Linked DNA regions of Oryctolagus cuniculus. Each later gene encodes a partner of the first gene's protein in a complex. Links are inferred from orthologs where the notes say so. Each region holds a gene or a part of one and is shown in the gene's direction. Other genes may lie near its edges. The genes, in order: PRKAA2 and PRKAG1.

Region 1 (4,612 bases):
GAAACAGCTCAAAAGCTGAACAGGAATTTTGTTCTCTTGCTCACCTGAATGAACACTGAAGGACGGAAGGAGTGACCCTGAACCAAATGAAAGTTCAGCATTAAAAATGACTGGTTGTGCTCTCAAAATTGCCAGCTAGGTAGTGTGATTCTTAAATGATACTTCTTGTCAGCAAGAAAGATGATCCGAAGAATGAACGAAAATAGCCTCTGTGTAACAGGTGCGATATCTGTAATTTATAAGTGGTGTTCATCTCTCATCAGATTGTCTTGGTGTCTAGCCAAGAATGAATAGATGCCATTTGTATATTTACTACTTTTCAGAAAGCAAAAAAAAAAAAAAATTTCACAACCTAGTCTTTCTGATCAATATATTCTTTACATGTAAGCAGTATAACAGACTTCAAGCTTGAGGAATGTGACCTTGAAACTCCACTAGCAAGCACAGTGCTAAAAGCATCTCACTAATTTTTAACAATTCATCTTCAAATAGCAAATAATCTTAAAATTAATCTTTAAAAATTTTACATCATTGAAAAATGAAAATTTTACACACATCAGATGCAACATGTTGTTTTGAAATGTATATAATAGTGGAATGGCTACATCAAGCCAGTAACACATGCATTAGTCATAATAGCTGTTTTTGTGGTGAGAAACAAATAATTATAGTAATAATTTTGAAAGATAGGACAACATTGAAGAATAGGATACTATTAAACAAAGGAAGGAAAGAGGGGAAGGAATGAAGAGATGGAAGAGATCAGCACTTCACCTAGTTCTTTCTCTCTCTCTTTTTTTCTTTCTTTTTAATATTCCCTCCCCAGGCAGGGGTGGTGGTGGTGGTGGGGGAGGAATCATGATTCTCATTTCCTCTTACCATTTTTTTCTACTTATCATACTTTAAATTGTGTCTTTATACTGTCCTTGCTTTTCACAATTCCTTTGTCCTTCATGTACAAGGGTACTTTAAATGTTCGTGGAACAATGAAATTAAAAGGCAAGCTTATTTTGGTGCCAAAGACTTTGAAATCCATGCACAGTTTTTCATCATACACATTTTCATGAACTTGATGAAGACCGCTCATTCACGTGTTTTTCAAAGTAAACATTTCAATTAAATTTATCTTCCATGGGGTTAAAAATTAATTTGAAAGAGAGAGGGAGAGGGAAAAGGAGAGGGAGAGGGAGAGAGAGAGAGAGGGAGAGGGAGGGAGGGAGGGAGAGAGAGAGAGAGAGAGATCTCATCTGCTGATTCACTCTCCAAATTTCCACAAAGGCCAGAGCTGGGCCAGGGCCAGGAGGGGAGCTGGGAATTCAGTCCAGGTCTCCCACGTGAGTGGCAGGGTCCCAAGGGTCTGAGTTATCCTGCGGCCTCCCTGGGTCTGCATCAGCAAGAAGCTGGAGTCAGGAGCGGTGGCCGGCTATGGGGCGCCGTGTCCCTCCAAGAACTTTTTGGAACACCTTTGTAATTTACTTCCTGTGCACTCACCATTCCTTCCTGGGCAGCTCTGTCACATATCATTTCCCTACTGTGTATGTATATAGGCAGGCGATCAAACACCCGAGCTAACACGGCGACGGGGATTTACTGGAAGCTGCACATCGGTTACAGCTGAGATCTCTCTTCCATCTAAGGACAAAGCAAGTGAGAATGATGAAGTAGGCAGAGGAGGACAAGTGAGGAGAGCACCGCTGTGAGTGCTCCAATAGCTGGATCAGAAACAGCCGAGACCCCGGCAACTTCCCCGGGGCGCTCCCCCGACTGCCCTTTGCACCGGCCCCTGGCCTCCGCCTCCCAGCCCACATCGCGGTTTGGGGCTTTGGGCCTGTTTCTCTTCAAATTCGACTTCCACCTCTTTCCATTCCCTCAGATCGGATCCAGGTCTCACCCCCACAGTCCCATTCTCTCGGCTCTCCCTCAGAGAGCGCCCCCAGCCACCCTCGCCCTCGGGTCGCCGCCGCCGCCCGCCCTCTCAGCACCTGCCGCCCGCCGACCCTCGCTGCCATCCGCGCACCTGGCTGGGCCCCGCCCTCTCTCCCAGCCTGCGCCCCGCGCCCTCAGCGCGGCCGCCGCCGCCTCCGGCTCCGCCACAGGCGTCGGTCACGCCGGGCCGCGGCTCCCCGCTCCGGACTCGGTCGCGCCCTCTCCCGGGACCCCGGCCGCCGGCGCCCGCGCCCCTCGTCGCCTGCGGCCCGCCCCCCGCGGGTCCCGCTGCACTGTGGGTAGGCGGCGGCGGCGGCGGCGGCGTCCGCGCTGAGGGGCCGCGGCGGAGCGAGGCCGCGCGAGCCGAAGATGGCTGAGAAGCAGAAGCATGACGGGCGGGTGAAGATCGGTCACTACGTTCTGGGGGACACGCTGGGCGTCGGCACCTTCGGCAAAGTGAAGAGTTGAGTACGCGCCGAGGCCGCAGCCGCTCGGGGCTGCGGGGCTGGCGGGTGGCTGGGCCGGGCCGAGCAGCGAACCGGCGCAGGGCCCCGCGGCAGGTGGCGCGGCTCCGGGCAGCTGAGAACGTGGACCCCGCGCGGGCGGCGGGCAGCGCCTCGCCCAGCAGCGGCGCCCCGGCCTGGCAGGCGGGGCTGGGGGCGAGCGCTAGAGAGTGGGCTGGGGGACAGGGGTCCTGGGCTCCAGGTCCAACGCCTGTCATCTGGGCGGTGGTCGGGGCCAGGTGCTTCCCTGCTGGCGTCCCCTTCTGCACAGCTGGGAGGTTGTAGCATACCCGTCAGGTGCCCTCCAGCTCGGACACCGTGTGGGGAGAGCTGGGCAGTACTGCAGGCTACCCGTAGATGATGATTGAGTTGCCGTTTGGTGCCCGGCGCCCTATCAGGGGCGTTACGTGTGATTTCTTTAAATCCGTACTTGGTCCAGCTGTGACCCTCACCTTGCAGGGGAAGCAAACTGGAACCCCTAAGGGTTGAGTAGCATGCCCAAGGTCACACTGAAATTGGCAGCGCGGGATGAAGTCTAAGATGTCCTCCGGTTCTAGCCTTGCTCAGAGGTCCCTGCTACCCCCAGATTCTGTGATGTTGTAGCACTCTGGGTTGGCAGGGCCTCCTGTTAAGCGGACGCCCAGTGGGCCGGCGAGGGTGGGCCTGGGAAACGCTGGAATGCCGCTGGGTGGGCTCCGATAATTAGACCTAGGAGGGCTCGAGGTTGATTGGTTTGAGTGCAGGGGCTCCAGGAAGCCTCTGGGATGATGGAGAGAGATAAAGGTATTGGTGTTGGAGAAGGGCTGAGGTCGGAACTGCTAAGAAATTTTTGCTGAGGTCTGTTTTCTTGGAGATGCAATTACACTTAGGGTGTAGAAAAATAGCCTGCTTTTGAAAGTTTATACTTCTTATTAGTTAAGTAATTAGTAAGAAGAACTAGTTAGGCATTGAACTTTGCTGGGGGTGGGGGGATGGACACACACACACACACACACACACACACACCTTCTTCCATCCACTGGTTCATTTCCCAAATTCAGGAGCTAGAATCTTCATCCAGGTTTCCCACCTGGGTGGAAGGGACCCAAGTACTTGAGCCATAACCTGCTGCCTTCCCAGCTCATTAGCAGGAGGCTGAGTCAGAAGTGGAGGAACTGGGACTCCAATCCCAGGCACTCCAGTATGGGATTTACAGGTCCCAAGTGGTGGATTAAGCAGCTGAGCCCTCTTCCTTTTCCATTTTGTTCATAAGAGTTATATGAGATTTAGTAATCATGTCCTCTCTCCATAATTGGAGCCAGTTTATTTATTTATGTATTTATTTATTTTTAACTTTTATTTAATTAATATAAATTTCCAAAGTACAGCTTATGGATTACAGTGGCTTCCCCCCCTCCATAACTTCCCTCCCACCCACAACCCTCCCCTTTCCCACTCCCTCTCCCCTTCCATTCACATCAAGATTCATTTTCAATTCTCTTTATATACAGATCAGTTTAGCATATATTAAGTAAAGATTTCAACAGTTTGCACCCACATAGAAACACAAAGTGAAAAATACTGTTTAAGTACTAGCTATAGCATTAAATCACAATGTGCAGCACATTAAGGACAGAGATCCTACATGAGGAGTAAGTGCACAGTGACTCCTGTTGTTGACTTAACAAATTGACACTCTTGTTTATGGCCTCAGTAATCACCCTAGGCTCTTGTCATGAGTTGCCAAGGCTATGGAAGCCTTTTGAGTTCACCAACTCTGATCATATTTAGACAAGGTCGTAGTCAGAGTGGAAGTTCTCTCCTCCCTTCAGAGAAAGGTACCAATTGGAGCCAGTTTATTAAAAGTACTTTGTTGCAAATCCAGAAGTGTAAGGACAATGTTGTTTTTTGTTTTGTTTTCTTTTTGCTGAAGACATCTGGGTAGGCTGGAAATTCTACTCTGCTGTCTCTGTTTCATTGTAGACTTCATGTTTTAACCTCAAGTAAATGTAGAAGAGACTCATTGTTCGTTCTTGTGGCAAGATCAGTGGGAATTTTCTTCCACATATCTGATACCCATTCATTTGTTGAGAAAACACTGAGAACCTGCAGTGTGGTAGGCACTGTGGTAGGCCATGGTGACTCAGGTAGGAACAAAATCAAATCTTTTATGAGGCTTACATTTTTAATAGGGGAAGACAATA
Region 2 (2,645 bases), on another chromosome or scaffold:
TTTTTTTTTTTTTTTTTTGACAGGCAGAATGGACAGTGAGAGAGAGAGACAGAGAGAAAGGTCTTCCTTTTGCTGTTGGTTCACCCTCCAATGGCCACCATGGCTGGCACGCTGCGGCTGGCGCATTGCGCTGATCCGAAGCCAGGAGCCAGGTGCTTCTCCTGGTCTCCCATGCGGGTGCAGGGTCCAAGCACTTGGGCCATCCTCCACTGCACTTCCCGGGCCACAGCAGAGAGCTGGCCTGGAAGAGGAGAAACCGGGACAGAATCCGGCGCCCCGACCGGGACTGGAACCCGGTGTGCCAGCACCACAAGGCGAAGGATTAGCCTAGTGAGCCGCGGCGCCGGCCAGCTATTTTTTCTTAATCAAACTTGTAAAACTATTTGGTTCTTTAAACTTTGTGCCCATATAGCTTTGGTTTAAAAAAAAAAAAAAAAAAAAAAAAACCACAACTGTTGAAAATCAAACTGGCCTTGGATTTTAGAGCATGAACTTACAACCTTTGGAATCAGGTAGCTCTCGGTTTGAGTCTTTTTCGCTGCTTCCCAGTGGGAATGACCTCGCATGGTTTGTTTAGCTGCTGTACACCTGCTTTCATCTGAACCCCGGGGGGACAGGGCCGACCTCGGCGAGCTCGGTGACATACCATCTTTAAGTACATATAGCATAGGACTGAACATACCCAGGCTGTTATTTTGGAGATTTGATTCTCCAGTTTTGTGTAGGCAGTTCCAATCACAGGAAAGAAAAGGATCTCCCATTTGTCTGGAGTGGGTAGAAGGATTTTGATTCACGAGGTGAGCCTCAATTGGATTCCCATGGCGCCTGGGGCCATGCTGTTATGAGCACAGGGCTCCAACCCAGCATGGATGGGAAACAGCCCAGTTTGGACCATGACTTTCTCATTGACTGGTCTTGGGAGAATTTTAAGAAGCTTATTTGATTTTTTTTTTTTTTTTGTATTCACTGAGAAAAGACATCAAGTGAAAATGTGCTAAATATATGGAAGGAGAACTTGGATTAAAAATAAGAAAAAAACATTTAGACTGGAACAGGCTAATGAGAGCTGTTGCAGACTTCATGTTTTAGTCAGTCCTGTTTTTTTTTTTTTTTTCAACCTAAGGAGGCAACTAATAGATTTAGTCTTACTGGGGGTAGGGGTTGGATGAAATGTCCTCTAAGGGGTTTATCTAGGCTTTGTGGTAACCGTAGGAACTTAACAGAGTAGGAAGTCTTATAAAAGCTATTATTTAAGTGTTGAGAAACTAGAAACTTTTGTTCCGTGGAAGGAAGCCACTAATTGCCACACCCTATGCAGACACCCCAGACTCCAACAATAGCGTGTATACTTCCTTCATGAAGTCTCATCGCTGCTATGACCTGATACCCACAAGCTCCAAACTCGTTGTATTTGACACCTCTCTGCAGGTGAGTGAAGCAGTCTTTGTCCCATCCCCCTTCCTCGGAGCCTCTGGTCCCATACCGCTCAGCCTGTATCCTACCAACGGTGATAGCCTTGCCCTTCTATGGGGTCAGTCTCAGGTTTTTCCAAAATAAACCAACCCCTCTTTGCTGCAGTCCTGCACCCTGTGAATTCCTCTTAAACCGTTACTGTCTCGGCCACAGGTGAAGAAAGCTTTCTTTGCACTGGTGACTAATGGTGTGCGAGCTGCCCCTTTGTGGGATAGTAAGAAGCAAAGTTTTGTGGGTAAGCAAAAGTGCCTGGGACAGAGGGTTGCTGGGCAGAGGGCAAAGCTTTGGGCAGTGCTGAGGGCTTCGTCTTGGCCTCCAGGTATGCTGACCATCACGGACTTCATCAACATCCTGCACCGCTACTATAAATCTGCCTTGGTAAGGAGCCTTAGCCCAGTGACCAAAACCATGTCCCTGTCCAAAGACCCTCATTGCTCTTTCTTTTGCTTTAAGCACGCCATGGAGGTTAAGGAATCCGGGAGATTAGGTTTCCAATTCTGTTGCTTCTGTTTCCAGGTACAAATCTATGAACTAGAAGAACACAAGATAGAAACTTGGAGAGGTACGTGGAGACTTTGGTTTGTAAAAGGCCGAAAGGGGCGGAGGTTTCTCCATGGGGATACTGCAGGACCCGTCCTTTTTCCCTTTCAGAGGTGTACCTGCAAGACTCCTTTAAGCCGCTTGTCTGCATTTCTCCTAATGCCAGGTGAGCGCTGGCTATCTGTCCAGTGTGTGGCACAGCAGTTATGGTGCTGCTTGGGAATGCCCACATCCCATACCAGCGTGCATGGGTTTGAGTCCCAGCCACGGCCCTGATTCCAGCTTCCCACTAACGTGCCCTCTGGGAGGCAGCGGGTGCAGGCTGCAGCACTTGGGAGATCCAGATTGAGTGCTGACTCCTGGCTTCTGCCTGGTCTGGCATTAGGGGAGTGAACCAGTGAATGGGAGATCTGTGTCTCTCTGCCCTTTAAATATAATGAAAATAAATAAATAAAAATTAAAAAAAAGAAAAGAAAAGACATATCTTGCCGTCAGCCTAGCCAAAGCCCTAAATACTCAAAGACCAGGGGAAAGAGTAGAAGAGGAAAAGGAGATTCCTCCCATCTCTCTCTCTCTCTGGTCTGAATGCTGTCCCTCTCCTAACCCCCACTTTCCCTGTTTATATCCACACT

The links.
Region 2: the proteins of PRKAA2 (region 1) and PRKAG1 are in contact, whole or in part, in a crystal structure (PDB 6B1U), measured with the Homo sapiens proteins. The link is inferred for Oryctolagus cuniculus from reciprocal best matches to the Homo sapiens genes PRKAA2 and PRKAG1. Residues at the interface, in NP_006243.2 of Homo sapiens: Asp329, Asn330, Ile333, Met334, Ala337, Phe340, Tyr341, Leu342, His366, Pro367, Glu368, Arg369, Met370, Pro371, Pro372, Leu373, Ile374, Asn444, Val446, Thr447, Pro530, Arg531, Leu532, Gly533, Ser534, His535, Thr536, Met537, Asp538, Glu541; in NP_002724.1 of Homo sapiens: His36, Asp40, Leu41, Ile42, Pro43, Thr44, Ser45, Val50, Phe62, Leu64, Val65, Thr66, Gly68, Val69, Arg70, Trp75, Ser77, Lys78, Lys79, Gln80, Phe82, Pro158, Glu159, Ser160, Gly161, Asn162, Lys170, Arg171, Lys174, Phe175.

The regions. Positions count from the first base shown.
Region 1 is NC_091438.1:116,548,111-116,552,722, reverse strand, and holds the start of PRKAA2 (5'-AMP-activated protein kinase catalytic subunit alpha-2), read left to right. Parts: upstream 1-1,644; 5' UTR 1,645-2,295; coding exon 2,296-2,389; intron 2,390-4,612. UniProt on the Homo sapiens protein: Catalytic subunit of AMP-activated protein kinase (AMPK), an energy sensor protein kinase that plays a key role in regulating cellular energy metabolism.
Region 2 is NC_091442.1:52,469,917-52,472,561, reverse strand, and holds part of PRKAG1 (5'-AMP-activated protein kinase subunit gamma-1), read left to right. Parts: intron 1-1,318; coding exon 1,319-1,428; intron 1,429-1,626; coding exon 1,627-1,708; intron 1,709-1,792; coding exon 1,793-1,851; intron 1,852-1,989; coding exon 1,990-2,035; intron 2,036-2,124; coding exon 2,125-2,179; intron 2,180-2,645. UniProt on the Homo sapiens protein: AMP/ATP-binding subunit of AMP-activated protein kinase (AMPK), an energy sensor protein kinase that plays a key role in regulating cellular energy metabolism.